Linked DNA regions of Callithrix jacchus. The protein of the gene in region 2 purifies or fractionates together with the protein of the main gene of each other region. This does not show direct contact. Links are inferred from orthologs where the notes say so. Each region holds a gene or a part of one and is shown on either strand. Other genes may lie near its edges.

The links.
Region 1: the proteins of OS9 (region 2) and SERPINA1 purify together in Homo sapiens (affinity purification with western blotting; 4 studies listed by BioGRID). This does not show direct contact. The link is inferred for Callithrix jacchus from reciprocal best matches to the Homo sapiens genes OS9 and SERPINA1.
Region 3: the proteins of OS9 (region 2) and DERL2 purify together in Homo sapiens (affinity purification with western blotting; 3 studies listed by BioGRID, with this or other methods). This does not show direct contact. The link is inferred for Callithrix jacchus from reciprocal best matches to the Homo sapiens genes OS9 and DERL2.

What each region holds. Positions count from the first base shown.
Region 1 is NC_133509.1:129,218,540-129,229,462, reverse strand, and holds the start of SERPINA1 (alpha-1-antitrypsin), read left to right. Parts: upstream 1-3,758; 5' UTR 3,759-3,964; intron 3,965-5,810; exon of another isoform or gene 5,811-5,853; intron 5,854-10,923.
Region 2 is NC_133510.1:61,987,124-61,997,249, reverse strand, and holds part of OS9 (protein OS-9), read left to right. Parts: intron 1-5,813; coding exon 5,814-6,024; intron 6,025-6,138; coding exon 6,139-6,240; intron 6,241-6,452; coding exon 6,453-6,553; intron 6,554-6,733; coding exon 6,734-6,785; intron 6,786-8,468; coding exon 8,469-8,557; intron 8,558-8,750; coding exon 8,751-9,023; intron 9,024-9,467; coding exon 9,468-9,657; intron 9,658-10,126. UniProt on the Homo sapiens protein: Lectin component of the HRD1 complex, which functions in endoplasmic reticulum (ER) quality control and ER-associated degradation (ERAD).
Region 3 is NC_133506.1:107,014,072-107,024,844, reverse strand, and holds the start of DERL2 (derlin-2), read left to right. Parts: upstream 1-2,014; 5' UTR 2,015-2,031; coding exon 2,032-2,124; intron 2,125-2,973; coding exon 2,974-3,039; intron 3,040-5,793; coding exon 5,794-5,867; intron 5,868-6,973; coding exon 6,974-7,067; intron 7,068-8,440; coding exon 8,441-8,636; intron 8,637-8,870; coding exon 8,871-8,961; intron 8,962-9,201; coding exon of another isoform or gene 9,202-9,205; exon of another isoform or gene 9,206-10,085; intron 10,086-10,773.

The DNA.
Region 1 (10,923 bases), on a different chromosome or scaffold from region 2:
CATGAGCCACGTGCTCACTGTTACCTATTATGCTAATGTTACAAAGGGATGTGTATGAAGTGTCGCAGAGGCAGCAAGCAGGGAGAAAGAGAGGAAGGGAGAGATGGAGGTACGCGTTTCAGCATCAGGGTAACACTCTCTGCCTCAGTTTCCTCATATGTTCTAAGGAGATCACAGTGGTACCCACTGCACAGGATAGAGTGGGGTGATGCACACGAAGTGTTTAAGACGGGGCCTGGCAGACAGCACATGCGCGAGGACTCTCGGCCACGATGCAGGGGGTGGCATGCCGCCCCTGGAGTATTCGGAGATGCGTATTATAAAATGGAAGCAGAAGGCCTGTTAATACCCAGCAAACAAACACTCAAAGTCAACATGAAGTCAACAGGGCAAATCGAACCATCTGAAGCCAAGGTCGGAGTTGGGCAAATTAAGAGCCCTATTGCTCTCGGTTACCTAAGCCACCCACACAGGCCTTGTATTTCTGAGTAATATGGCCTGAAGTCCTGCTGGGTCTCCCCTGATCCCCACACGAGGATGAGTCCTACACGCTCAGCCCTGCTGTGGTTCCCGGAAGGCCTCTGTCACTGCCCGCTCTCTTCCTCTCCCAGGGAAGAATCCCCAAAGCCATGACTTGGGGCAAGAGAAAATGAAGGCAGACCTGGAAGCTGAACATGGTGGCATTGCTAGAAAGCAGTGTGAGTGGCTGAACATCAGCACAGATTGCTGAAGGGATAATGAGATAGCTTAAAAGCATTCCCGCTGACCAACTAAAATCAAATCATGATTGTAGTTAAATAGGACGCATTGAGTCTCTTAAAAGCTTCCAATCTGGCCGGGCGCGGTGGCTCAAGCCTGTAATCCCAGCACTTTGGGAGGCCGAGGCTGGTGAATCACGAGATCAACAGATCGAGACCATCCTGGTCAACATGGTGAAACCCCGTCTCTACTAAAAATTACAAAAAATTAGCTGGGCATGGTGGCGCGTGCCTGTAATCCCAGCTACTCAGGAGGCTGAGGCAGGAGAATTGCCTGAACCCAGGGGGCGGAGGTTGCGGTGAGCTGAGATCGCGCCATTGCACTCCAGCCTGGGTAACAAGAGCGAAACTCCGTCTCAAAAAAAAAAAAAAAAAAAAAAGCTTCCAATCCATAATGACCATCGTGGCCTATAACCCCAAAGAAGTAAAGTTAAAATAAGTTTGGAAGAGGTTAGTTGCAATAAAACATCAGTTTCATTAATTTGAACAAGAAGAGGATGGAGCTACAGATGCATGTTTTCTTCCTTTTTTGAACTAAGTTGCCCATTGCAGTGTATAGATTTCCTTATTTTTCTCTGTCTGAGTAAAGGATAAAGAGTAAAGCCTGGGTGTAGTGGCTCACGCCTGTAATCCCAGCACTTTGGGAGGCAGGTGGATCACTTGAGGCCAGGAGTTTGAGACCAGCCTGGTCAACATGGTGAAACCCCATCTCAACTAAAAAACAAAAACTCGCTGGAAGTGATAGTGTACACCTGTAATGCCAGCTACTAGGAAGGCTGAGGCATGAAAATGGCTTACAGTTCCAGAATTCAAGAGGCGGAGGTTGTGGTGAGCCAAGATTGCGCCACTATACTCCAGCCTGGGTGACTGAGTGAGACTCTCAAAAAAAAAAAAAAAAATAGTAAAAACAAGAAGCTGTGAGGAGGCCAGATAGTTGAAGAAAGAGCAGAAACCCTCCCCCACACAGGAAACGGCTCAGGAGGTTGCCCCACAGAAGGGAAGAGTGTCTGCTAGGGTTTTGCAAGTTGGTTAATTTGAAAGATGCCTGGAGGAGGTGAACAGATGGTGCAAACTTAATTCTTCTCTTAGAAGACAAACTTCAAACATCCAACTCACCTGACCAGTTGAATAAGTTATAAGAAGACAGACACAAGTGTCGATTGTGCTAACAGTTCTGTGTCAAACGCCCTGAGCATCACCTCATTTAAGCCTCATGACTATATTGAAAAGAGACTTTTATCCCCATTTTATAGATGAAGAAACCAAGGCTCAGAGAACCAAGGCACTCCCCGGATCCAAGTCCGCCTAGCTGCAGCACCCCTGCATCCTCTGCACGTCACAGGTGCTCAGAAAGATGCTAAAGTCACCTGGCCCTGTGCCTTCAGGAAGCCAAAATGAGCACCGCCCCAAAAGGGACTGGCAGCCTCTTTCTGGAAAAAAAAAATGGAAGTTTGAATCTGAGGAGGTGTCCCTCAATAACGGGTGCAGCTCCCCAAGCCTGGGGCCAAACACAGCAGTTGTTCCTCCACTTACACCCCTGAGACGCATCTATAAGGCTTTTCAGAGCCAGGACACGTCCCCAAAGGTCGTGGCCTTCGGTGGGTAGCATTGACTCAGGGCCTATCAAAGCCAGAGGCTGCCCGCAGCGCTCAGATGTTAATAACTCATTGGATCTTCACAGTCCTGATGGAAGTAACTCTTCTTAGAGTCTTTCTGTCTCACAGATGAGGAAACTGAGGCAGAGAGAGGTTACATGGCTTGTCTAAGATCTCACAAAAAGAGTGGTGGAGTTAAGACTTGACTCCAGATGCTAGATCCTGACCCCAGTAACCTGTACTGCCTCCCAAAGAAGGAAGCTGGTGCCTGGGAGGGAGGGTGCACAGTGAGGGTGCGCATGGTATGTGTGTGTGTGTGTGTGTGTGTGTGTGGTGGGAAGCACTCTCTGGGGTACTTTGCCAATGTGTTCAGCTCCCCTGAAGTCCACTGTTGTTCTCCTGACCAGCCACTCAGTCTTGATTTACTTGGCCCAGGGCCACTGGCACACCCCACCCCGTTACCCCTTCTTGCTATAGACCCCAAGTCTTGGCTCTCACACCCCTTTCCAGTCCATACCACAAGGCTCCCATCTCCAGGCAGGGCGCTGCGGTGGGGCAGGGCCTCCCAGAAGCCCCTTATTCATGACCAGCCCACAGGATCTTCCCATGACACATTTCCTCCAGGGGATCAGCCCAGATGATGCAATTGACAATTCTGGGACTAACCAAGTGGACAAAACGTTCCCCACTGTGTCCTGGGGTTCCTGGGGGTATAGTGTCCTTGCAAACGGCCACTGAGTGCTTCAGCCCCCCTCCACTCCCCTGGGTTTTGTCCTGGTCATTTTCCCAGATCACCCCAGCCTTTCCTCCCGGGATGAATGTCCAGAGCAGGGCAGGGGCTGAGCCTGGAGCCCTTCACCCAAAACAGCAGGACCCCAAATTCCGAGCCCCTTACTTGCCCCAACTGCTTCCACTCATGCTTTCTTCATTCCTCCTCCAAATGCCCCAGCTGCCCGCTACGATCCCTTCCACACCCAGCCAGGTCCTGTGACACACACCTCCCCAGCGCACACAGACCTGCCCAGCTTCAGGGTCGCCCACTGGGCATTTCATAGGTGGCTCAGTCCTCTGCCCTCTGCAGCTGGCTCCAGAAACCTGCCAGATGTTGGTGCCAGGTCTGTGCCAGGAAAGCGACGCCTATCATTTCTAGTAATCCTCTGGGCAGTGTGACTGTGCCACTTACAGAAGCTCAAAGGGACAGGGTGACTCATCCTGGGTCACAGAGCTGAGGCAGGACAGGTGGAAGAGATGACATGCAGGGCTGTCTGGATTTATGAGGGCCAGTCCTGTGTCTGCCTGGCAATGGCCAAGGCCCCTTCCTGCCCAAGCTCCCCTCCCCTCCCCAACCTATTGTGTCTGTCATCCGCCATCCAAAGTCTACTTCCTGCGTGAGCAGGAACTGGGCACTGTACCCAGGGCGTGTACTGCCTCCACACCACAACCCTCAGAATCCTGAGCTGAGCAAAGGAGGAGGGGGCCGGGCCTCCAAGGAAGGCCTAGCCGCTGCTGCTGCCAGGAATTCCAGGTAGAAGGGGTGGCACCTTCCTGCCAGTCCCCAGCCCACGCTCCTGTACCTGCCGGAGGGAACAGAGCTTGAGGAGAGCGGGAAAGGTGGGACATTGCTGCTACTGCTCACTCAGTTCCACAGATGGAGGGACAGCTGGGCCTGGAGTGGGGGTCATTATGCAGATGGGAAAATGGAGGCCCAGAGAGGGAAAGAAATGGCCAGGAGATGCCAAGGGCAGGTGACCTCAACCACAGCCTAGCGCTGGAGCTGTGAGTAGAGGTAGAGTAGCAGAACATCCATTCAGCCATCTCAGGGGAAGGACGGGGCCCTGAAGGCAGGGGATGGAGCTGTCAGGAAAGGGAGCTGAGAGAGAAGGGGACAGGAGTCTGAGCTCAGTTTTCTGCTTCCTGAAAGGAGGGTGGTACATACTCCCCTCACAGGGTAACTGAATGAGAGACTGCCTGGAGGGAAGCCCACCCCACCCCAGTGACACCAGGGAGACCCCTGACAAGGGGGAGGGAGGACAGCATCAGAAGGGGCTTTCCGGGAACACCCAGCACCCGGCTCTGAGCTTGCCTTAAACTGCTGCATTTTAATCCTCACAGCAGCTCAACAAGGTACACACCATCACCACCCCCATTTTACAGATGGGGAAATTGAGGCTCGGAGCGGTTATACAAATCGCCTGAGGCCTCACAGCCACTAAGTGGGCCCTCTGGTCTGAATATGTGTGCTGGAGAATCCTGGGGGTCACTCACCTGGTAGAGCCCCGAGATGGAGGTGCAGTGAGACTGGCAAATAACAGAAGGGGCAAAAATGCACTCATCCATTCGTTCTGCAAGGATCTATGGCGCATACACCAGCTGCCAAGCAGGTTTGCGGTTTGCACAGAGGGTGATGCGGTCTGATTTAGGCTTCTAAAGGGATTGCAATCAAGTGGGGCCCCACTGGCCTCAGCCCCACCCCTCCCCTCCACCCCAGCACTCCCCAAAGCCTCCAACAACACCAGGGTGGGGGTCACATTCCCAAAGAAAATCCAAGCTGAATACAGATCACCTTGGTCTTCCAGGAGCAAAAACAGAAACAGGCCTGAGGCTGGTCAGAACTGAACCTCCTCCTGCTCTGAGCAGCCTGGGGGGCAGGCTAAGCAGAGGGCTGTGCAGACCCACATGAAGAACCTGCAGTGTGCCAGGCACTTCACCCAAGGCACTTCACAGCCATGCTTGGGAGTGAGACTTCCACCTCTCTCAGATGCAGGTGAAACACTTCTTGGTTCAGAGAGGTGAAGTAGCCTGCCTGAGGCAGCACAGGTCCTCTTTATAGACTTACTCTCCCACCCCTCCACCCTGTCTCATGCTCCCCACCCCCATGCCAGCCTGATGGTTGTGTCTGCCTCAGTCATGCTCCATTTCCCCATCGGGACTATCAAGAGTGTTTTTGTATCTGAGGCTGACAGTGTGACTTTGGATGAGCGGCCTCTCTGCTCTGAGCCTCAGTTTCCTCGTCTGTCAAATGGGCTGTAGCCCACTCTGATCTCCCAGGGCGGCAGTGAGTCTTCAGCATCAGGCATTTCGGGGTGACTCAGTAAATGGTAGAACTACCATTGCTACCAGTGGAACACCCACTGAGAATTCTGCAGTGACAGCAGAGGGCCAGCAGCGTGGTGCTCTCCCAGAGAGTGACTCACACCGCCCCCTCCACCTTGGACCCAGGACACTGTGGTTTCTGAGCCAGGTACAATGACTCCTTTTGGTACATGGAGTGGAGGCTGTGCGCTGCCCAGGCAGAGCGTCCAGGCAGTGTGGGCGGGCAACTCAGAGCCCAGCCAGTGGACTTAGCCCCTGTTTGCTCCTCCGATAACTGGGCTGACCTTGGTTAATATTCACCAACAGCCTCCCCCGTTGCCCCTCTGCAGCCACTGCTTAAATACGGAGGAGGACAGGGCTCTGTCTCCTCAACCTCAGGCACCATCGCTGACCTGGGACAGTGAATCGTAAGTATCCCTTTCACTGCGAAAGGTTCTGGAGAGGCCGCTGAGTCTTGCACGGCCCAGGCAGGCAGCAGGCCTGGGGCAGGGGTGGTTGTGGAGTGGGTATCCACCCCCTGGGGTGCAGGGCACAGGGAGGGGCTGCAGCTGGGCTCCTGTTGTCAAAACAGCAGCCATGAGAGGGTGTCCTGTTTCCCAGGCCTGCCTGGTACCCCTCAGTACCTCCCAGTGGGCTCACTGGCTCTTGTAAGCAGAAGTAAATGAGGGTGTCTGGCTCCATGGTCCTGGCACCCCAGGATGGGGGTACAAGCCAAGATACAGCAACTAGGCTCAGTCATTTCTTTCTGTTTGCACAGCTCCTGTTTCTGTCGGGGAGATCCTGTCTGTTGTCTCCTGTAAGCCTCACCTCCTCTCCTACTGCTTGGGCACGCATCTTTTTCCCCTTCTATAGATAAGGAAGTTAAGATCCAGAGGGGGCAGGAAGGAACACCAGCTTACACTCTCCATCCCCTCCAGATATGACCAGGAGCAGACCTGTGCCGAGCCTCAGCCTCACATGCACTATGGACCTCTGGGTCCTCCTGTCCCAGTGGAGGACAGGAAGCTGTGAGGGGCACCATCATCCGGGGCTCAAGCTGGCATTCCCGAATAATCGCTCTGCGCCAGGCTACCGCTAAGCTCAGTGCACAATTAAGCCTTATAACCCTCCAAGGCAGTTACTAGGGTTATTCCCATTTTACAGATGAGGAAGCTGGGGACAGAGAGGTTAATAACTAGCCCCAAATCACACACCATTCATAATTCAGGCTCAGGCACCTGGTTCCTAGCCTGGCCCTAGTGCTCAGTTTCTCTCAGGTCTCAGGCACTGGATGGGAAACAGGAAGCCTGGGCTGGACTCAAGGTCTCGCTGATGCTCAGTGACTTCAGATTGTTGCTCAACCTCTCTGTTCTCTTGGGCAAAACATGATAACCTTTGACCTCTCTCCTCTCCCCTCACTCACCACGACCTTGATCTCTGGAGTGCTGGAAGGATTTAATTTTTCCCCACACTGAGTTTTGGGGATGGGGTCAAAAAGATGACCCAAGGCCAAGGCGTTCAGGTTCCCACAGAACGTCTCTAAAAGACCTGCACCAGGAGCAGCAAGAACTGATGTTCTCGAGAACATACTGTGCGCCAGGCAGTTCTTGGCATTTTGTGCATATTTAATTTGCACAATAGCTCTATGACAAAGTCCGCCTTTCTCATCTCTAGGAAATCGAGGGTCAGAGAGGTGAAGCAACTTGTCCAAGGTCACACAGCTAATAGCAAGTTGATCTGGAGAAATCTGTCCTCAGAGCCTCAAATTTCAGCTGCAAACTGACGCTGCCCCTCTTAATGAGCCGGGCCACCTCTGAAGTCTCCTGATTCAAGTCTCCTGGCTTCAGCTTTGTACACAGAGAGGATTAAATGTCAGGTTTTGGAGTCAAATTTGTTTAATCCTAGACAGCACATCTAGGATTAAATCTCAGTTCTGTAAGCAAGGAGCTCTGTGATTTTTAGTGAGTTACTTAAATCCTCTTTGAGCCTCAATTTTTCTATCTATAAAATAGGGCTAATAGTAATTTGCACCTCTTAGGGTAAACGTGGAGGACAGATTAGTGGGGCAGTGCCTGTAAAGCACCAGGTGTTAGTGTGGCGATGACGGTGACGCTGAGGCTGTTTGTCTAGCATAGGACGAGGCAGCCGGCAGGCAGTCAACAAATACTTGGAGAAATTTAATGGAAAATTTGCCGAACTCAGTCGCTGTTCACTGCTGAACAGAAGCCTCTTTCTGCTGAAATGTGTCCTGTGGAGTGCAGCAGCTAGCCAGGGAGAAATCTGCCATCTCTCAGGCAGGAGTGCAACCTGTGTACAGATACAGAGAGGGCTTCCACACCTGGTGCGTGCCCACCCATGCATGACCTTGGTTATTCCTCATCTCTGTCCAGAGGATTCTTTTCTCCACTGTACAGATATGAAGCCGTGTGAAGTCATTTGCCAGAGCCCCCTGCCAGTAAGTGAAATGTATTGCTCATTTCAACAGGTCGATTGACCATGGGCGAGATTCTCTTCCCTGCACCCTGCCAGGTTGCTCTTGGACCTTCGTTTTATGCTCCTGGGTAGAAATGGTGTGAAATTAGGCAGGCAGTGGCTCACTTCCCTCTCCCCTGCCTTGCAAAGAGTGCTCCCACCTGCCCCGATCCCAGAAATGTCACCATGAAGTCTTCATTCTTTTGGTTTAAAGCTTGGCCTCGGTGTCTGTACACCATGGGGCCCTTGGCCGTCTACTGTCTCCTCTCCAGTCAGCCTCCCAGGCACTAGTCTTTGGGGGTACAGGATGCTGCCTTTGATAGAAGGGCCAAGAGAGAGTAGGTTTGGGAACCCTGAGGTTATAAGGGACAGCTTGGGAGGCACAGTGAACCCAACATGATGCTTGAGACCAATGTCAGGGCCCGATTCAGACATTCGTCATCTGGGATTTGAGACAAGGCTGTTTCAGTCCATAGACAAGTACTGGGAAAGCCAAGACTTATCCCAGCTTTGTCACTGACTTGCTGTATGGCCGTAGTAAGGCCCTGACCCTCTCTGGGCTGCAAACTCTTCACTGTGAAGGGAGAAAACCAAGTAGGTGATGTGACATGGGGGAAGATGGATGGGTGTGGGGAAATGCACTCCTCCCAGCTGTCACCCCCTCTCCACCCACCCTGCACCAGCCTTGCCACCTCCTTTGAGCCCAGAAGTCCCTTGCGTAGGAGGGCGCCTCACCTCATGCCTACCCACAGGAATTCTCCATCTGTTTTGCTCCACCAAACCCAGATGCCATTGTAACAAAGAATTCTGGCCAGGTGCAGTGGATCACACCTGTAACCCAGCACTGTGGAAGGCCAAGGCAGGCAGATCAGGAGATCAGGAGTTCAAGACCAGCCTGGCCAAAATGGTGAAACCCCGTCTCTATTGAAAATACAAAAATTAGCCTGGCATAGTGGCACATGCCTATAATCCCAGATACTCAGGAGGCTGAGGCCGGAGAATTGCTTGAACCCAGGAGGCGGAGGTTGCGGTGAGCTGAAATCACGCCACTGCACTCCAGCCTGGAGGATAAAGTGAGACTGCCTGAAAAAAATAAAAATTAAAAATACTATGTTAGTGTACAGAGGACCCCAGTGAGGTCTTCTCCCAGCCCTGCTTTGCACAACTGGGGAAAATAAGGCCCCAGGACCGGAGGGTGCTTGCTCAAGGCCAAGTGGACGGTGATGTCCCTGCCAGGGATAGAAGCCACAGCCACTCAACATATTCAGTGTCCCCACCCTGCAGAGGTCCAAATCCCTCCCAACCACTGAGCCCTGTAATGATGGGGGAATTTCCATAAACCATGAAGGGCTGCGCAAAGTTCAGTGGGGAAGTGAAAGAGAAATCCAGGGGAGATGGAAATATACAGCATTAATTTTAGCCCGGCCTTCGGCTCTAGCAACACTAGCTAGTTGAAGAAAAACATAAACATGTGTTATGTAATGTGTGGTCTGTTCCTCTGGGACTACGAGAACCAGGAGAAAGGTGGTAGAGAAACCAGTTATGTGCTTCGTTTTGTTGCTTTATTGGAAAGAAACTTGGAAAAGTCCAAGACGGTCGATGAATCTTAGTATTTGTTTATTTCCAACTTTTTTTCTCCAGTTTTTCATTTGTCAAATTCAAGAACACCTTTTTCTTTGCATTTTGTTAAGATGGTGATTTTAGTTGTGTGGCCAGTAGTTAACTATGTGGTTACCAGGCGGATTCTCAACTGGGACCTCAGTTTCCCCATCTGTGAGGATGGCAGATCTACTTAGGGGGCTGCAGACTGGTGGTCCGAAGCCGAGGCATATCTGGAGTAGAAGGAGCACTGTGGGGCAGGGCAGGCTCTATATTGCTTTGGATGACATTCACTTGGACCATTGCTTGGCAGAGCCTGCTCTCACTAGTTCAGCCACAGGCCCCACCACTCCCTACTGTCTCAGCCCCAGGTATGGAACACATATTCCTCACGGGCCTATCACATGAAGGCTTTGAATCTGCAACACCTGCCAAGCCCGCCCTCAAAAGCGTTGCTCTCTCAGATCCTTTGATGTAAGGTTTGGTGTCTAGATTTATTTTACTAAATTCTTCCAACAACCTTACTTTATATGAGGCAAAATGAGGACCAGAGAGATTAATGACTTGTCCTGGCTCATACACTGGAAAGTGACAGAATCAGATTAGATCCCAGGTGTATCTGAAGCTAAAAGCAGAGTTTTTTCATTTCCCACCACCCCATCTCCTTTAAAGCAGCACAAACCCCTGCTTTAAAGGAGAGATGAGCTTCTCTAAAGCCCGTGACAGCAAAAGACCAGAACTGGGGACACCGTTGGTGACTCGGACAGCAAGTAAGCTGACTGCAGGCATATCATCCTATTCTTGTGACTGGAACCACAGAGTATTGTAGGGACAGCCCCTCTCTCAGGAAAAAACCCTAAGGGCTGAGGCTCCCTGTGAGTGTTGGGTGGAACAGCCCCCAGGGGATTTAATCTCAGCCCCACCATGCTCTAGCTGGTGCCATTGTGCAAGACACATTTCCCTTCTCTGCAGCAGCTTCCCTGGCCACTAAATAGTGGGGTTAGATAGAAGCTCTCCAAGGGCTCCCAGCGCGACGTGAGTCTTGATTCTGATCTGGCCTGATCCTGGATAATCGTGGGCAGATCCCTTATTCCTCTGGTGCCTCATCTTCTTTCGTGAAACAGTGGCTGTACCACTTGCATCTTAGGGTCATTGCAGTTGTAAGGGGAGCTGCCCAGAGCCTGGACGCAAGACCTAAATGTAGGATTCCAGTTCTGCTACTTTACTTACTCGGTAACATTGACTAGTTGACCTAATCTCCCTGGCTTTGGCTTCCTCATCTGTAAAATGACGATAGCAGCATTAGCACCTCACAGGATTATTGCAAGAAAGGAATGAGTTAACACATGTGAGCCCACAGAACAGTGCTTGGCATATGGTAAGCACTACATACATTTTGCTATTCTTCTGATTCTTTCAGTGTTAGT
Region 2 (10,126 bases):
TTAATGGCTATTCTAAATTCCTTATCTAATTATTAAATAGATAATACTTTCCCATGATATAAAACCCAGAAAGTAATATTTAAAAGGTATGTAATGAAATATTTCCTGGCTAGGTGCGGTGGCTCATGCCTATAACCCCAGCACTTTGGGAGGCACAGGTGGGTGAATCACCTGAGGTCAGGCATTCAAGATCAGCCTGGCCACTGTGGGAAATCCTGTCTGTACTAAAAATACAAAATATTAGCCAGATGTGGTAGCATGCACCTGTAATCTTAGCTACTTGGGAGGCTGAGGCAGGAAAATTGCTTGAACCTGGGAGGCATAGGTTGTAGTGAGCACAGATCATTCCACTATGCTGTAGCCTAGGCAACAGAGCAAGACTCTGTCAGAAAGAAAGAAAGAAAAAGAGAGAGAGAGGAAAGAAGGAAGGGAGAGAGGGAGGGAAGGAGGGAGGGAGGGAAAGAAAGAAAAAGAAGGAACGAAGGAAGGAAGGAGGAAAGAAAGAAAGAAGAAAAGGAAAGAAAAAAGAAAGAGAGAAAGAAAGAAAGAAAGAAAGAAAGAAAGAAAGAAAGAAAGAAAGAAAGAAGGAAAGAGAAAAGAAAGAAATATTTCCCTCCCATACTTGTCTCTCATCTGCTCGTTTCCCATTCTTTCCCCATTGTCCCTGCTCCAGCCCCACAGGTTATCCCTGCTCTTAATTTTGCATGTATCCTTCCAACCTTTTTTTGTGTGATTACAAACAATTATGAACGGAGATTCTTATTTCCTTTCCCCTTTATTTATAAACAATAGATACTAAATTAAACACACTGTTCTATACCTTGCTTTTATTTCCTTTGACAGTAAATCTTAGAGACCTTTCAATGGCAGTACATCTTTTTTGCTTTTATAGATGCATAAAATTCCATTGTATGTTTCATCATTTTGTCACCGTTACTCTACTGATTAAAATAGTCCCCCCATTCTTTTGTTATCCCAAATGATTATTGTTGTACATATATGCATGTGTAAATATATTATCTATAACTGGGCCAGGCATGGTGGCTAATGCCTATAATCCCAACACTTTGAGAGGCTGAGGAGGGAGGATGGCTTGAGCCCAGGAGTTTGAGACCAGCCTGGGCAACAGAGCAAGATTCTGCATCTATTAAAAAAGAAAAAAATAAAGTAAGAAAAAAAAGTATAATTGCCAGGTACAAGTTATGTATATTTAAAGATTGTCTTTTTTGAAATGTCTTATTACACAAACTTAAAAACATGTATAAACCCCCTAGAAAGGTATATCTGTGGTTCCCTGTCTTTGGATACATAGGATGGTATTCCTGTTCTCTATTTCATTTATTTTTGTTTTAATCTGCATTCTTTCCCTCTGCTGGCTCTTGGTTTAGTGTGTTCTTCTTTTTCTAGTTTCTTAAAGTAGAAGGGTAGATTATGGAGTCAAGATTTCATTTTTAAAAAATTGATGTTTATAGCTATGAATTTCCCTCTAAGCACTACTTTAGCTGCATCCTGTAAGTTTGGATATGTTATGTTTTCATTTTCATTCATTTTTGAGATAATTTATAGTTTTGTTTTTTTTTTTTCATTTAACTCATTGGTTACTTATGAATATATTGTTTAATTTCTACATATTTCTAAATTTCAAAATTTTTTTTTCCTTATTCATTTCTAATTTTATTTCGTTGTGGTCAGAGAACACACTTTGTGTGACTTAAATTCTTAATTCTTTGAACATATTTATTAATGTAATGGCTACAAGCTGGGCATGGTGGCCCACGCCTATAATCCCAGCACTTTGGGAGGCCGAGGTGGGCAGATCACCTGAGGTCAGGAGTTCAAGACCAGCCTGGCCAACATGGTGAAACCCCATCTCTACTACAAATACAAAAATTATCTGGGCATGGTGGTGGGTGCCCATAATTCCAGCTACTTGAGAGGCTAAGGTGAGATAATCGCTTGAACCTAGGAGGTGGAGGTTAAGCCAAGACTGTGCCACCGCAGTCCAGCATGGGCAAGAAGAGCCAGACTCTGTCTCAAATATACATATATATAGTTGTATATTTGTATATATACATATATATATATATAATATATATTACATATATACATATATATGTATATATGCAGGCTACTTTTGTTGTTGTTGTTGTTGTTGAGATGGAGTTTCACTCTTACTGCCCATGCTGGAGTACAATGGTGCGATCTTGGCTCACTACAACCTCTGCCTCAGCTTCCCTCGTAGCTGGGATCACAGGCATGTGCCACCACGCCCGGCTAATTTTTTGTATTTTTAGTAGAGATGGGGTTTCTCTATGTTGGTCAGGTTGATCTTGAACTCCTAATCTCAGGTGATCCACCCACCTCGGCCTCCCAAAGTGCTGGGATTATAGGTGTGAGCCACCGCGCCTAGCTAAAATATCTATTTTTAAGTGTTTGTGAGATCCACCATCTGGGCCCTCTCACAGGTTGTTTCTTTTGCCTGCATATTTTTCCTATATATGCATCATACTGTAATGTTTCTGCATGTTTTGTAATGGTTTTGTTGAAAACCAGACATTTTAGATAGTATGTTGTAGTGACTACAGTTAAAATTCCTGCCCTCGGCCAGGCGTGGTGGCTCAAGCCTGTAATCCCAGCACTTTGGGAGGCCGAGGCGGGTGGATCACGAGGCCAAGAGATCGAGACCATCCTGGTCAACATGGTGAAACCCCGTCTCTACTAAAAATATTAAAAAAATTAGCTGGGCATGGTGGTGTGTGCCTGTAATCCCAGCTACTCGGGAGGCTGAGGCAGAATTGCCTGAACCCAGGAGGCGGAGGTTGCCGTGAGCTGAGATCGCACCATTGCACTCCAGCCTGGGTAACAAGAGTGAAACTCCGTCTCAAAAAAAAAAAAAAAAAATTCCTGCCCTCCACCCCATGGTTTTTGTTTGTTCATTTGTTTAGGGACTTGGTGGAACTACTTGAGTGCAGTCTCTTTCCCTCACCACATGAAGCCTCTAGTGTCTCCTCAGAGAGCACAGTCTTGGCCCTGCACACAGTCACACTAGATGACAGTGGTTTCAGCAGGCTCTTTTTGACTGTTTCTTTCGTGAATTTGTTATGCTGTCGGCCTCTCCTGGTATCACCCCCAGCTGTTGGGCTCCACTCATTGCCAACTAGTCGCTTTATTGTTTTTGACTTGTGGGGCTTAAGTTGTTCCACCGTCTAGTCCAATTAATTGTGGGCCCCTTTGTAGGGCCCGTTTTTGAGGCTAATATGTAGGTTTGTTCTGACTCCAGGATGGCTCTCAGTTGCCTTTTCCCTGGTTCTCTCTGTTAAACTAGGTGTCCCAAGGTTTAGCCTGTTGCTATCATGGAGCAACCAGCCTCCTTTTAATTGCCTCCCACCAAAATCTCTACATTTCTGAAGTGCCTGTAGGCTTGAATTTCCCCATACTCTGTTTCACATTAAGTCAGTCCTTTGGAGAATGTTTTGGAGCTCTGGGTTCTTATGGACTGCCTCTCCTGCTGGGCAAAATCCCCAAGGCCCTGCTCAGAAGTTGGGGTCAGGAACAATGGCTTGCTTCTCTTGAAAGGACATTCCTGCTTTATGAGCAGGGAGCTAGGAGGGGATAACAGCCTCTGCTCTCCCAGGTTGCATCTCTTTTGTGAAACCTCCACTCTCTGAGCAAGCTTCAGTGAGGCCAGTCAGGGCCCCGGTATTCTTGTCCCACTGTACTTGAGGGAAAGCCTCTGCCCTGTGAGTGGGGCTGGGTGGAAGAAGGGAGCCCTTGATCTTGTGACCACTTTTGTAGGAATTTAGTTACTGTACCCTGCCCCTTCTGGTAAAATACCATATACTATATCTCATGACTGGATGTTCAGGGAATAAGAAGGGTCCTCCTGCTCCCCAACCCCAGCTTTTTTTTTTTTTTAAACTACACTCACCTGCTAGAGTGGAGCATTTGTCAAACTGAGCTGTGAGGTGGGGTTTGGGGCATAGAGTGAGGGAGCAGGTCATGGCTCAAGTGCAGCAGATTCTTACTATTCAAGATTTAGTAGCTGGGCATGGTGGCTCACACCTGTAATCCCAGCACTTTGGGTGGCTGAGGTGGGAGGATTGTTTGAGCCCAGGAGTTTGAGAAAGACTGGACCACATAGCAGGACACTGTCTCTACAAAAAATTTTAAAATTTAGTCAGATATGATGGGACACACCTGTAATCCCAGCTCGGGAGGTTGAAGTGGGAAGATCGCTTGAACCTAGGAGGTTAAGGCTGCAGTGAGCCATGATCATACCACTGCACTCCAGCCTGGGTGACACAGTGAGACCCTGTCTCAAAAAAAAAAAAAAAGATTTCGTAGATTTTCTTGAATAAACATTTATTTGTTATATGTCCTTAGGAAAATTTCCAAAGAGTTTAAATGCTTTGTGTTTTAAAATTTTCATCAGTTATGGAGTTTCCCTGAGGGGTGAGTCTGTGAAGTCCCTCATGCTGCCATTTCAGAAGTAGGACCTCTCCTACTGTTGGTTCATTTTTGAGACAAGGTCTTGTTCTCCGCATAGGTTGGAGTGCAGTGGCATGATCATAGCTCACTGTAACTTTGAACTCCTGGGCTTAAGGGATCTTCCTGCCTCAGTCTCCCAAGTAGCTGAGACTACAGGCGTACACCACCACACCTGGCTAAGTTTTAAATTTTTTCTAGAGATGAGGTCTCACTATGTTGCCAAGGCTAGTCTTGAATTCTTGGCATCAACCCATCCTCCTGCCTTAGTCTCCCAAAGTGTTGGGATTACAGGTGTAAGCCACCAGCCTCTCTTACTTTTAATAGTTATATTAGAAATTAGAATATTACATGCTTAATTTATCAAAGGCCAGACAATATCTTTACCCTCTTTCTGAATGATATAAGAATCTAGGCTGAGGCAGGTGAATTGCTTGAACCAGGCAGGTGGAGGTTGCAGTGAGCTGAGATCATGCCACTGCACTCCAGCCTAGGCAACAGAGTGAGACTCCATCTCAAAAAATAAAAAAATAATAATAATAAAAAGAATCTTAGAATTGTTTGAAGTTTTTTTTTTTACCATATTCACATTTTTAAAAATATATATATTTATACAGAAATATATATTTTATAAAATAATACTGGCCGGGCGTGGTGGCTCGCACCTGTAGTCCCATCACTTTGGGAGGCTGAGGCAGTGGATCACCTGAGGTCAGGAGTTCAAGACCACCTGGGCCAACACAGTGAAACCTTTTCTCTACAAAATTACAAAAATTAGCCAGGCATGATGGTGGGTGCCTATAATCCCAGCTAATTGAGAGGCCGAGGCAGGAGAATTGCTTGAACCTGGGAGGCAACAGTGAGCTGAGATCACCCCAGTGCACTCCAGCTTGGGTGACAGAGCAAGACTCCATCTCAAATAATAACAATAATAATACATATATAAAGCAAATATAAGTATATATATATATTTATTTATATATACACATACAATACTTATACAAAGCAAGAATATAAAACACAAATTGGTTACCTACAGTTAAGCTGCCTGAGTTCAGTTCCTGTTTTTACCACGTGAAAGCTGGTCAGCCTGAACAAGTGCCTTAACTGCATCATACCTGTTTCTTGAGGCACAAAGTTGAGATATCAATACCCCCTCACTGGGTTTTTGTGATAATTACATGAGCCAATTTATGTAAAGTGCCGTATGCACAGTGTATGCACAGTGCTTGACAGATAATCAGTGCTTAGTAAAAGACACCTGCTCTAAGAACTAAAGCATGTTATTGGTGGTGATTACAGTATATTCACCCTTTCTGTCCCCACAGTTCCTCTGTGATGAGGGTGCAGGTATTTCTGGGGACTATATCGATCGTGTGGATGAGCCCTTGTCCTGCTCTTATGTGCTGACAGTTCGCACTCCTCGGCTCTGCCCCCACCCTCTCCTCCGGCCCCCACCCAGTGCTGCACCCCAGGCCATTCGCTGTCACCCTTCCCTGCAGCCTGAGGAGTACATGGCCTATATTCAGAGGCAAGCTGGTGAGTAGAGAGGAAGGGGAGATACAGGGGCAGGAGGTGGCAAAAGACCAAGTATTGAATAGCCAGAGGAATGTGTTCGTGTTCCTGGCCTGCTTGCATGCTATTTCTCAATAGACTCAAAGCAGTATGGAGATAAAATCATAGAGGAGCTGCAAGACCTGGGTCCCCAAGTGTGGAGTGAGACCAAGTCTGGGGTGGCACCCCAAAAGATGGCAGGTAGGACCTTGTTTGACCTGTTCCATGAAACTTGCTTCCATTTCTTCTTCCCCCTGATCTTATTGTCCTGACTGATTGGTGGGGTGGGGTGGAAGAGTACCAGGGGCCCTCATCCCTTGGTGATACAGGAGGGGAAGATACCCCATCCTATTTGCTCCCTTCCATCTCACCCCTCCTGTCAGATTGATCTCTCCTTGTTTTCTGTACCCCAGGTGCCAGCCTGACCAAGGATGACAGTAAGGACTCAGATTTCTGGAAGATGCTTCATGAGCCAGAGGACCAGGCCCCAGGAGGGGAGGAGGTGCAGGCAGAGGTGAGACCAGCTGCCTCAGAGGAACAGGATGGGGAGGGGGAGGGTTACTGCAGCTGGGGTCATTGTGAGGTGACCTACATCTACCTAGGGATGCAAGGATATCTCCAGAACCTTTGCCTTCATAGTATGGAGGGCATGAACAGGCTTTCATACTTAACTCTGTCCTTTTCTCCTAATCAGGAGCAGGACCCAAGCCCTGAGGCAGCAGATTCAGCTCCAGGCACTCCCAGTGGTGAGTGAACCCTCCATGTCTCCTTTACTGGATGTATTTTAGGATTGGCTGGGGTATGGGTGGAGGGGAGAGCTAAGCACTAGGAGGGAGCAGCCAAGCCAGCAGCAAATTCATTTTTTTTTTTTTTTTGAGATAGAGTCTTGCTCTGTTGCCCAGACTGGAGTGCAGTGATGTGATCTCTGCTCACCGCAACCTCTGCCTCTTGAGTTCAAGCATTTCTCCTGCCTCAGCCTCCTGAGTAGCTGGGATTACAGGCATGCACCACCATGCCTGGATAATTTTTGTATTTTTAGTAGCGACGGGGTGTCACCATATAGGCCAGGCTAGTCTTGAACTTGTAACCTCGTGATCTGCCCACCTCAGCCTCCCAAAGTGCTGGGATTACAGGCATGAGCCACTGTGCCCAGCCAGCAAATTCATTTTTACAGGAGTTAATACTCTGTAGACAGCACTGCTGTTTTAGGAAGGTAGCAGAACACAGTAGCTCCACCACTTGGTGACTTTGTGATTCACTTAACCTCAATTTTCTTACCCATAAAATGTGGGTAATAACCCCTACCTTAGAGGGTTGCATGGGCTGAAATGAGAATACATCCATAATTCATAGTAGAATACCTGGAACTGAATAAACTAAATGGTTAATATTTGTGGAAAGAACAGAAGGGCTCCAGGGAAGACAAGCCCTTAGCCCCAGAATGTCCTCTATAGTCCTAAAAACTGGATTGACTGCCAGAAGTGCCTCAGAAGTGCATGGAAGAGTGGGGACTTAGCAGCTTGTTAGCATCCATCTCTCCTACCTGAGTGTCCATCTTAGGATGGTGCTCTCTGCAGACAAATGTTTGCCCTTGTCTTGCTATCAAACAGGTAGAGGCAGGGACCATGTCTCTCATTACCTCTCCTTAGGAATCAAAAGAGAATTTAGGAGTACAGTGATGCACACCTGTAATCCTGGTTACTTGGAAGGCTGATGCAGGAAGACTGAGCCCAGGAGTTCAAGATCAGCTTGGGCAACATAGTGACACACCATGTTGAAAAAGAGCCAGGTGCTGTGGCTCATGTCTATAATCCCAGCACTTTGGGAGGCTGAGGCGGATGGATTACCTGAGGTCAGGAGTTCGAGACAAGCCTGGTCAACATGGTGAAATCCCATCTCTACTAAAAATACAAAAATTAAGTTGGGCGTGGTGGCTCATGCCTAGAATCCCAGCACTTTGGGAGGCCGAGGCAGGCAGATCATGAGGTCAGGAGTTGAAGACCAGCCTGGCCAATATGGTGAGAGACCCCATCTCTACTAAAATTTCAAAAATTAGCCAGGCCTGGTGACACACTACTCAGGAGGCTAAGGCAGAAGAATCGCTTAAACCCAGGAGGCAGAGGTTGCAGTGACCTGAGATCACACCACTGCACTCCAGCCTGAGCAACAGAGCAAGACTCCATCTCAAAAACAAAAAAAACAAAAAACACAAAAATTAACCAATTGTAGTGGTGGGCGCCTGAAATCCAGCTACTTGGGAGGTTGAGGCAGGAGAATCGCTGGAACCCGGGAAGTGGAGGTTTGCAGTGAGCCAAGATTGCATCATTGCACTACAGCCCAGGTGACAGTGCAAGACTCCATCTCAAAGAAAAAAAGAGAGAATTTAGACACAACAGAACAGGTTCATAATTATTATTCTTTCATCTCAGATTTTCAGAACAATGTGCAGGTCAAAGTCATTCGAAGCCCTGCGGATTTGATTCGATTCATAGAGGAGCTGAAAGGTGGAACAAAAAAGGTATAGGCTGTGCTCAGGGGATGGATAGAACCCACCTCCCAACTGGGAACATTTGAAAAACTACCCTGACCTGGGCCTCAACTCCTGGGTCCCCAAGTACCACACACCTGCTACTGTTTGTGTGCACCCCACCGTGTGTCTCTGCTGAAACCCCAACTGTCTACCTCTTTCTTCCCACTCCCGACCCACCCAGGGGAAGCCAAACATAGGCCAAGAGCAGGCTGCAGATGATGCTGCAGAAGTCCCTCAGAGGGAAGCAGAGGAAAAGGAAAAGGGTGACCCAGAACAGCGGAGTGAGGTGGAAGAAGAGGAGGATGAGGATGAGGATGAGGATGAGGATGAACGGCAGTTACTGGGAGAATTTGAGAAGGAACTGGAAGGGATCCTGCTTCCGTCAGACCGAGACCGTCTCCGCTCGGAGGTGAAAGCTGGCATGGAGCGGGAGCTGGACAACATCATCCAGGAGGCAAGCCCGGCTCTTCCTCCCCTTACTTCTACAACCACCTTGTCCTGTGGGGCAGAACAGGCTGATGGGCTAAAAGAAACAGAGGGCACAGCAACCAGGGCAAGGACAGTGCACTCAAAAATGGTAGCTGTTTCTCTAATTAATCAGGACTGGTGGGGAAGGGGGACCAGAGAGAGGGTCAAGACTTAAATATCAGACTCTGGCCGGGTGCACCGGCTCAGGCCTGTAATCCCAGATCCTCAGGAGGCTGAGGCCTGTAATCCCATCTCGCTTGAACCCGGGAGGCGGAGGTTGCAGTGAGCCAAGATTGTGCCACTGCACTCCAGCCTGGGCAACAAGAACAAAACTGCGTCACAAAATAGCAGACTCTCCTACAGAGCCTGGCCTGCTGGCCACCTCCATACCCCAGACCCTTGAGTGTTTATCTTCTCTTGGGTATTCCAGACAGAGAAGGAGCTGGACCCAGATGGGCTGAAGAAGGAGTCAGAGCGGGATCGGGCAATGCTGGCTCTGACATCCACTCTCAACAAACTCATCAAAAGACTGGAGGAAAAGCAGAGTCCAGAGCTGGTGAAGAAGCACAGGAAAAAGAGGGTTGTCCCCAAAAAGCCTCCCCCATCACCCCAACCTACAGGTGAGAGCAGTCAGACAAGAAGGAGTAGCCCAGTCCATTGTTTTCATCCCTCAGCTGGTCTTGTTCTTTGAGGGGACCCTGTTCCTTGCCTTCTGAGGGTGTTCATTCTCTCCCCTCTTTCTGGAACACTGTCCTCACTTGCGCCTCCTTCGCACCACTGTCATCCCTTGGCATGCTTACCTCCTATTCATCCCTCTGGGAAGCAGCTTTTAGAGCATGTCTGCTTGTTTCCTGGTTTGCTCCTGCACAGCCAGTGCCTAGCACACTGCCTGGCACACACTGACTGATCAGTAGATAGTAACTGAATGTTTGTGAGTCTATATGCTGAAAACCACACAACTGTGAAGGATGTAGCCTGTCAACATTTAGGACTTTGCACCGAGTGAGGTCCTAGCTATCAGGGTATGAATAGGAGAGCCCAGCTGCACATGAGTCAATAGCCTGGATAGACTTTAAATTACTTCTTCTT
Region 3 (10,773 bases), on a different chromosome or scaffold from region 2:
GGTGTGCACCACCCTGCCTGGCTTAAACCATGAGTTGTTTTATCAACAGGTTGTCAGGGTGATATTTGGGTGACATTTCTCCTTCTGCCAATTATTCTTATCTTTTTAAGTTTTTGTTATTATTTTTTTTGAGATGGAGCTTCACTCTGTCACCCAGGCTGGAGTGCAATGGCGCAATCTCTGCTCACTGCAACGTCCTCCTCCTGGGTTCAAGTGATTCTCCTGTCTCAGGCTCCTGAGTAGTTGGGATTACAGGCGCGCGCCACTACGCCCGGCTAATTTTTTGTATTTTTTTTGGAGATGGAATCTTGCTCTGTCACCCAGGCTGAAATGCAGTGGCACGATCTTGGCTCACTGCAACCTCTGCCTCCCGGGTTCAAACAATTCTCCTGCCTCAGCCTCCTAAGTAGCTGGAATTACAGGCATCCACCACCACACCCGGCTAATTTTTTGTATTTTTAGTAGAGGTGGGGTTTCACTGTGTTAGCCAGGATAGTTTTGATCTCCGGACCTCGTGAAACACCTGCCTCATCCTCCCCAAAGTGCTGGGATAACAGGCGTGAGCCGGCGCGCCTGGCCATTCACATCCTTTTTAAAATACCACTCTTTTCAGCCTACCTTATAAACTACCAGACTTGATGGTCACTCCCATCATTCCAAAAATCTTTAGTGCTTCCTCATAACGCATGAATAAAGCATGATGCTAACCTCTCCTACCATGAACTGGCTACTCTGCTCCAACCAAACCAGTTATTTTCTTTCCCTCAAGGAGGGATGCCTGAGCTAAATGTCACTCAACATTGAAATACACTTCCTTGGCCGCGCTCGGTGGCTCACGCCTGTAATCCCAGCACTTTGGGAGGCCAAGTGGATCACTTGAAGTCAGGAGATCGAGACCAGCCTGGCCAAGATGATGGAACCCCTTTCTCTGCTAAAAATACAGAAATCAGCCAGCATGGTGACAGGTGCCTGTAAACCCAGCTACTCGGGAGGCTGAAGCAGGAGAATCTCTCAAAGTTGCAGTGAGTCGAGATCGCCCCATTGCACTGTGCACTCCAGTCTAGGCGACAGAGTGAGACTCTATCTCAAATAACAAAAAAATACACTTCCTTGATTAAATCCTTCCTTTGCATTCCCATTAGGACCTCTCTTCGGGCACTGACAGATAAACTACCGCCTCATCTTCTCTGCTAGACTTGGATTTCCTAGTAGAGAAATGAGTGCGGCCTCATCATTTGCCGATTCCACGCCTAAGTGCCCAGGCCATCTCGGCGAACTGAGCCAAGAGCCCAAGATTGCGCTGAACAGGACCCAGAAGGAAAGGCCCAGGAACTGCTTCCGGCCGGCTCCGGGCTCCCGTCGGGCCCCGCGCCCGCGCTGCATGCCGGGACCTTCGGTTCGGAACCGGCGGCGAGGCCTACCCAGCAGGCTGCCGCGCTCCTCAGCGATGACGCCTAAACTAGTCCCGCCAGTACCCGCTCCTCAGGAAAAATGCTGCTCCGCAGCACTTACTGGAGCGACCATGAGGGTGACGAATTCGAGCACACAGGCTTCCCGCCACCTCCTCTAAACCGCCGCTGGCATGCCAAGGACAGACGGAGCGGTTGGGTCCCCAAAATTCCGACTGATACGCGCCTCGGCGAACGAAAGCAAACGCGGGATGCTCTCGCTCTCCTGATTGGCTGGTTGGGGACATCTCAATTACTGACAGAAAGGGGCCGGGCGGGAAAGTTAGCTGTGGCCGGCGGGGATTGGCAGAAGGAACCGATACTTACTCGTTTCTCCCGGACGTTGGCTGGTGGAGAAGCCAGGCTGGGGCGCTGAGGCGCTGGGGCATTGAGGCGAAGCAACTCGTGATTGGCGGGTGTGCCTTACTTGGGGCTCTACGATTGGTGGCTGGCCGGTTGCTTGGCGCTGATTGGGCAGCCACAGGAAGGCTTAGTGGGGAGGGGCGGGGGTGCTTTGGGCCCGCCCCGCCGCCGGGATCTGCTGGCGGAAGGGGAAGTGGGAGGGCGGGCGACGGTGGGGAAGATGGCGTATCAGAGCCTGCGGCTGGAATACCTGCAGATCCCACCGGTCAGCCGCGCCTACACCACTGCCTGCGTCCTCACCACCGCAGCCGTGGTGAGCAGCCTCAGCGCCACCTTCCCGTTATCTGGGCTGGATATGACTGGGTCTTCAGGAAACTGGGGTTTGGACGTTGGGGAAGTCCAAAGGGGCTGGTCCCGGTGATGGGTGGAGGCATACAGGGATTATTCTGGGGTTCGAGTTGGCGCCGAGAAAGCGTATCCAGTGACCTGAGAAGGGAGTGCTGCTTCATCGGGGATCTGGTCAGTTTCTCAGAGATGAGGGCCGGACCTGTAGTGGGTTAGGGTTGCGGGAGCCTCCCACCCAAGAAATGTGTCCGAGAGCTCTGGTGATGGCCAGGTGGTACCGTGGTGAGTAGTGAGAGGAAGGTCCGCTTAGGGAAGAAACAGGAATGAGGAAAGCAAGCTGGAAACTGTCGAGAGGGGAACAGCTTATAATAAAGAGGTCTTTGGATAATAAGGGGCTGGCTGGAGGTACCCAGCCCTAATGGTGGCAGGGTCTCGAGTCTCCGTTATTTCAATTGAGTTTTGTTGTTTGACACAGCTGTTCCAGGTGGTGCCCATGTGGTGGGGTAGTCATAGCAGCTGTTTTTACTTGTCCTGTGTCTAAAATATCACCACCTGTCTGCCTCTCATTTCTTCATGTCAGCCTCAACTATTGCAACATACAACAAACTTTTTGTTAGGTAGTGAGAATACAAAGAATTCTACCAATTCTAGAGATTTCTTTACCAACCTTTTCCTCTGGCCTAAGAAGAAAGGCTTAAAGGAAATCAGTCTAAGTGACTGATAGTTGGAAATTGCTAGACCTACTAATCCTTTGTTGTAAATGATGAAATTTTGTCTCTTGGTTGATTTGCTTTAAGAAGCTCTTTTTCTATTTCAGCAGTTGGAATTGATCACACCTTTTCAGTTGTACTTCAATCCTGAATTAATCTTTAAACACTTTCAAGTAAGTGGTTCATCACAATAGTGATTAATGCTTCAGTTTATTCCTTTTCTTACAGTTTAGTAGCAAATCCTGTTACATACTAGCCTAAAAAAGAACCCAGTGGGGACCTTTGATTATAATTGCTTTGTCAGGATATAAAGCAGTGATTCTGCAACCTGGTTGGACTTGAGAATCCCTTAGGGAACTTTGAAGAGATTCTCAAATTCCTCAACAAATACCAAGTCAGAATTTGCAAGGGTAGGAATTAAAATCTATGTTTTATTTTTAAAAGTTCCCTGCATCGTTTTGATATGCCCAATTCCTGTAGTTGGATATCACTGGTTTAGAGTTAATGTTGTAGTTTGAGAGGAGACTGACCAGGTGGCTGCTTAGGGGTTGTCTCAAAGGGATGGCCTTATTTTGTCCATTCACCACCTAGGCACACCCACCACCTTGGTGTTATCACCATGGTCCAGAAACTCAGTTCTGTTAGTACTTTTAAATTGTGATCTGTCTTGCAGGGATCAGATCATATTAACAAAATTCCAAAAGACCAACATCTAAAGCAACATGGTGGTTTATTAGATTACAGTGGGAGATAGTCCTCTCCAGTGATTAAAATGCTAACAGCAGCCAGGCGTGGTGGCTCACGCCTGTAATCCCAGCACTTTGGGAGACTGAGGCAGGCAGATCACCAGAAGTCGGGAGTTTGAGACCAGCCTAGTCAACATGGTGAAACCCCGACTCTACGAAAAATACAAAAATTAGCCAGGCCTAGTGATGCATGCCTGTAATCCTAGCTACTGGGGAAGCTGAGACAGGAGAATCACTTGAAGCCGGGAGATGGAGGTTGCAGTGAGCAGAGATTGTGCCATTGCACTCCAGCCCGGGAGATGAGCAAAACTCTGTCTCAAAATAAAATGCTAAAAGAGAGATGGTATTTCCTGTTCCAGGATGATATTACAGACCATAGTTGGAGTAGGGGAGAGACCCAAAAGCCAATAATTGTGCCTCTACCCATGCTGTACCCTCTGTCTCAAATGTATTTCATTCACTTTATACCTGTTGAGCTCTAGCTTGCCTTTCAAAATGCAGCTTTTGTGTAACCTTTATGTACTCATCCTCCTTTGTTTTAGAGCATCTCTCACCTTTACTTTGCAGTTATTTATATGCTTGTCTCCTCACTAGGATGAGGGCTCTAAAATCTGGATAATTGATATGTAGAACTAATTGTTTCAACATTAATAGTTACCAGTTCTCAAGAATTTAGTGATTTGTAAAGCAGTCCTGTCATCTCTTGTCACTGTGTTCCCACAATACTCACATGGAGCTGTAGTTCCATCCAAGTAAGTCTTACTTCCTACTTGGCTTGCTTGGCTTTACTTTGCCTGGGGTTAAACTCTTGATGACACTGTGCATTTGGAGTTAGGAGTTCCAGATTTGCCAGCAGAGTCTCCCTCTACAACCTGTGGGTCCTTGGTCAGGACATTTAAAAGTTCACCTTTTAGTTGAATAACTAGCTAGTTACTCAGTCAGTTTCAGTAAGTCTTTTAGTTTCCTATCTGTGAAATGGGGGTAGCCTGCTTGTCTCATAGGATTATTAAGATCACAAGAGGTAGTAGAAATTTTTAAATGTTAAAAATACTCTACCATTGTGAGTGGATACTGTGGGTGTGGAGATGTTGGGCAGGGAAGGCTGTATCAGAGTTTCCAACAAGAAAATGAGTGTTTAGCCGGGCACAGTGGCTCACGCCTATAATCCCAGCACTTTGCGGGGCCAAGGTGGACGGATCATTTGAGGTCAGGAGTTTAAGACTAGCCTGGCCAACATGGTGAAACCCTACCTCTACTAAAAATACAAAAATTAGCCAGGTCTGGTGACACCTGTAACAGCTACTCAGGAAGCTGAGGTAGGAGAATCATTTGAATCTGGGAGGCAGAGGTTGCTATAAGCCAAGATCATGCCACTGCACTCCAGATGGGGCGACAGAGCAAGACTCTGTCTCAAAAAAAAAAAAAAAAGAAAAGAAAATGAGTGTTCTTTATCTCCCAAGTAGACTATAATTATTATAGCATTCATTCTTGCAGGGAGTTGGCCATTTGTTCAGACTAGAACTTGGGTTTTTTCTTTAGAATTTTCCTTTCTGGCCAGGTGCAGTGGCTCAGGCCTATAATCCCAAAACTTTGGGGAGGCCAAGGTGGATAATCCCTTGAGGCCAGGAGTTTGAGTCAGCTTGGGCAACATAGTGAGAACCTGTCTCTGTTTTTAAAAAATGGTTTTTTTTTCCTCTTTATAGATTACTCAGTCTTGGATACGTTAAAAATTTTTTAATTAAAAAAGAATTTTCTTTGAGATGTTTCTGACTGCCTAATGTAAACATTTCTCAGCAATTTATATTAGACCCTGAAGTTTTTCTCTGGTATGTCAGATCTATTTATTATATGATAATACTACATATGAAAGCACTGTTTTCTGTTCAGCAAATTAACCTAGTCTTTCTACCAAACTTTCTCCATAAGACAATCACAATTTAAAATTTTCTGTGCTATTGTAAATCTCACAGTCCCAATGATGTCTTTCAAACTTTTAACTAAAAGCAGCAAAAATCTAACATCGGATTATATGCCCTCATTTTGTTTCAGAACAGAATATCACTCTGTCCAAGGCTTCTCAACCATCATAGTCATAGGATGTGTCTTTTGTATTCATATGGAACTGTTTCCTGGTAATTTATTTGACTTAATATATCTTTCTCTTGATTTTTTTTTAAACAGATATGGAGATTAATCACCAATTTCTTATTTTTTGGGCCAGTTGGATTCAATTTTTTATTTAACATGATTTTTCTGTATCCTTTATTAAATGGGGTCAGCATCAAAACTTTGTTTTCTTAGGAAGTAAAAGATTAAGTTGAAACTTTTAATCCTGTTATTTGTTTCTGGTACCATCTTAGCTATAATTTCTGGATCAGTGGAACATAAAGTAGTTGGTTAGGTAGTAATGTTTTGAAAAGGTTTGTAGGTCACTGTTCAAATGAGAGGTTTTAACCATAAAAAGATACCACTTCTACTTTTTAGTTGCTTACAAATCTGATCAAGGGAGGGGAGAAGTGATTTAACTGAGATATATTTCCACAGTGACATCAACAGGTACAAAGTGGTAAAACAACCTGAATACAATGATAATTTAGCAGAATTTGGGCATAAGTTTTAGAGTGGGTTCATGGAGAGTGGGAACTTGTGATCTCCTTCGGTCCTGGTTGCGGGAACTACTGGCTGAAAGACAGTGATGTGTCTGCTGGTCTTGTCAAGTTCCAATTTGTTGAAAGAAAGGGAAACCCCAGCTCTGATCAATGGCAGTTGGGGCCATGGAACACGGCATTCCTCCTCCACCCCTGCCCTCTCTGTTAAGAGGGAGTTACAGTTCAACTCATCTGCAGCTGCATTCCTTCCTGAAGATGGCAGGAATCCATTTTAAATCCTATTTAGGATATCATTCTGGTAAGTTTCCAATAAAATTTTTTCTCATCATAATTCATCTTTATTGACTGAGGTGCTCACACCAGGTCTGGAAACGTGGTTTAGCACACAAGGCTTCTTGCTACAGATTACTTCCAAGTTAAGTTGTAGAAAAGCAAAGATGGTACAGATTAAGGTGCAGCACAGGAAAGACTATACAATTTTTTAAAGGTTTAGTAGGATACTGGAAGCACTTCTGTACGTTATGTGGATTAGTTCCTAGCTAGGGACAGTTTGTAAAATATGGTGCTGGTCTTGACCGTTTCTAAAACACTTGGTAAAAGAAGGGTAATGACACATTACCACTCAAACATTCTTACACAAATGAAGACTTGACTTCTTACAAATAATATGGAATCCAAGTGTACTTACATAACATTAAATTTTACCTTGTTCATATTCATGTGCTTAATATTTTCTTAACTTGGAACTTAAGATATCGTTACTGTCGAATGCTAGAAGAAGGCTCTTTCCGGGGTCGGACAGCAGACTTTGTATTTATGTTCCTTTTTGGTGGATTCTTAATGACCGTATCCTTCAACAAATAGAACACATACAGGAAAATGTTAAAGAACACCCTGTTTCTTCCCAAAGCTTGTCATCTGTCTCCCATAATTCACTAGATATTCTGAAGAAACAGATAAAAGTAGAGCTCCAGATTTTAGCTTCAGGGCACTATCATTTGTTTATTACTTTATTTTTCTGAGATGGAGTCTTGCTCTTGTTGCCCAGGCTGGAGTGCAATGGTGCAATCTCAGCTCACTGCAACCTATGCCTCCCAGGTTCAAGCGATTCTCCTGCCTCAGCCTCCCAAGTAACTGGGATTACAGGCATGCACCACCACACTCAGCTAATATTGTATTTTTAGTAGAGACAGGGTTTCTTTTCCATGTCGGTAAGGCTGGTCTCAAACTCCCGACCTCAGAGGATCCTCCCGCCTTGGCCTCCCAAAGTGCTGGGATTATAGGCATGAGCCACCGTACCCAGCCCACCATCATTTATTTTACAGCACATTTTCTGTGACAAGTTTCCAAGCCTAGAGGTTGAACAGGATGAACAAATCAAAGGAGCTTTTAACCCAGGTGGGTTACTATTAAGTGTCTCAGTTATATCATTGCTGCTTGGTGTACTTCACTTTTAAACTAAGTTGGTAAGACATTTACTTGGTGGCTATCAAAACCAATAAATTATTTTTTAGAAAAAGAATTTTCAGGCCGGGTGTGGTGGCTCACGCCTGTAATCCCAGCACTTTGGGAGGCCGAGGTGGGTGGATCACGAGGTAAAGAGATCGAGACCATCCTCGTCAACAAGGTGAAACCCTGTCTCTACTAAAAATACAAAAAATTAGCTGGGCATGGTGGCGCATGCCTGTAATCCCAGCTACTCAGAAGGCTGAGACAGGAGAATTGCCTGAACCCAGGAGGCGGAGGTTGCAGTGAGCCGAGATCGCATCATTGCACTCCAGCCTGTATAACAAGAGCAAAACTCCGTCTCAAAAAAAGAAAAAATTTTCATCTATACAATAGTCTTAGATATGCTACTGTTGGACAAGATGGACTTGTTCCAGCTAGCTTTATTCACCTCTGAAAAGGTGTTAACCATGAGCAAGCTTTAATATAATTACTGACCAAAGAATTAACAGATTTTCCAAAGAGGCAAGAACTTCACGAAAGCAGAGTATTTGTTTGAAGTAGCTGCAATCTCAGTAATTTAGCCTAAGCAGATTTTTGCATGATTGCTCTGGGTAATTATTTTCTGTTTTTTTTTTTTCCTTCTATTCTAAAGATATAACAACTTGACTTTTCCAGCTCAAACGTTTGTTAGAACACAATTGTTAGTCCTCCTGCTCAGTCTTCCCTATTAAACTTTTAATGTTGACATTTTCCTTAATGCTATCTGCTAGCTTTTTGGTTTGTTTGTGAGCTTAGTTTTCTTGGGCCAGGCCTTTACAATAATGCTCGTCTACGTGTGGAGCCGAAGGAACCCCTATGTCCGCATGAACTTCTTCGGCCTTCTCAACTTCCAGGCCCCCTTTCTGCCCTGGGTGCTCATGGGGTTTTCCTTGTTGTTGGGGAACTCGATCATTGTGGACCTTTTGGGTAAGGCTTTTCTCACTATTTTTTAAATTCTTTTACCTGTAAATGTATTTTGTCACTATTTTTCCTGTATATTCTGTTTGGCTTTCATGTATAAGTATTGTAAAAGACTACAATATTCGTTCATTAATAATTATGCTGCCATTCATCCTAAATATAGGCAATTTATGTTGGTAGGTATGCCTGCAATCCAAATTTTCATTGTCTCCCTCATCCTTTATTTCTGCTTGACTTTAGGTATTGCAGTTGGACACATATATTTTTTCTTGGAAGATGTATTTCCTAATCAGCCTGGTGGAATAAGAATTCTGAAAACACCATCTATCTTGTGAGTATTTACATACTCTTACAGGCAAACTAGGATGGGGGTCATGATCTGTGTTTTCTTGGGCTCTCCTAGCTCCTAGTACACATAGTTGAGGTCAGTAACTATTTACAGATTGAGCAAGCTGGCTGCAGTTGAAGAGCACTTGGATTGGGTAGTAACCGACAGTGCCAGGGTTGTGGCCAGAGCAAGGTTAACAGGCTCAGGATATCTTGTTGAGTAACCTGGTAATTGTTGTTCCAGATGACCACTAGAACTTCATGTTCCAGGAGGAGTCTACTGTTTTTATGAAAGCTGCTGTCCACGTTTAGTGAAGTAAGGTAGCAAAATGAGCAAAACTGATGAAAGTTTCTAATGGTGGACTTTCTGACCTGCCAAGCAGGTGGTTGAGATAAGCAGTGAAGCAGAGTGGAAGTAGCTTTGGACTGGAAACCAGGTATAGCTGTCCTACTGACCAGTTGTATAGCAAGTCCCTCCTTTTTTGAACTTCAGTTTCCTGAAATAGAACAATAGAACTTTGATTTCTTTTTTTTTTTTTGGACATGGGGTCTTGCTCTGTCACCTAGGCTGGAGTGCAGTAGAACTTTTGATTTATGAGACCTCTTTCTACTCTGGAATTTGGTGTCCTTGGGAGATACCATATTAAAAAGGGCTCACTTGAGAAATAAAATGTGAGTTTTTGTTATAAAATGTTTGTTGTAGAATATTTAAGCAAGAAAGTAAAATTGTCCATGATCCTGACACTTGGATGTAGCAGGGGCTGCTATTGTTAACTTTTCTTTTTGTATTCTTCAGACTTTGCTATCTGTGTACTTTTTTTTAAATGCTGAGCCAGTCAAGGCTGTTGTGCACTATGATTGCGCCTGTGAATAGCCACTGCTATTCTTTGGCCAGGCCTTTTAAAATAGCCACTGCATTCCAGCCTGGACAACATAACATATGCCTGTAATCCCGGTACTTTGGGAGGTGAAGGCAGACAGATCACTTGAGCTCAGTGCAGTGGTATGATCGTAGCTCACTCTTAACTCAAACCCCTGGGCTCAAGTGACCCTCCCACCTCAGCCTCCCAAGTAGCTGGGACTACAGGTACACACCACCAGGCTCTGCTAATTTAAAAAAAAAATTTTGTGTGTGGAAATGTGGTCTCTCTGTGTTGCTCAGGCTAGTCTTGAACTCCTATCCTCAGGTGATCCTCCTGTCTCTTGGCCTCCCAAAGCATTGGGATTACAGGTGTGAGCCACCACACCCCACTTTTTTTTTTTTTTTTTTTTTTTTGCAATTGTTTTCTGGCTCAACAAGATATACCAGGCTCATGTTGTGCTCTCCTTGATCCGGTCCTGGAATCAGCTGTTTCTTCAAGGAGCCCTGGTTCCTTTAAAGTGGAGAATGGTATTTAGAAGCCAGGATCTGGGTGCTATATGTGCTCATTGCTATTGAAGTGTTGCTATTCCCAGATCCTCTCAGTGAACAGAGCAGTGGAATTATATCTATGTATGATAATGTATACACATGTATATTTTTAGATCTGTAGATTTTCAAAAACACGGGTTTATGCTATCATTTCTAGTACTACCCCATGGTTCATACTAGCTTTTTTCCTTTCTATTTGTTTCCTCCCATATTTTATTATGAAAATTTCTAAACTTATAGGAAATCAGAAAAAAAATGTGAGCTTCATTTAGGCACCACATAAATTCTGTAATCAATAGTTGCCTGTTCTTTTTTTTTTTTTTTTTTTTTTTTTTGAGGTGAAGTTTCTCTTTTTGCCCAGGCTGGAGTGCAATGGCGTATTCTTGGCTCACCACAACCTCTGCC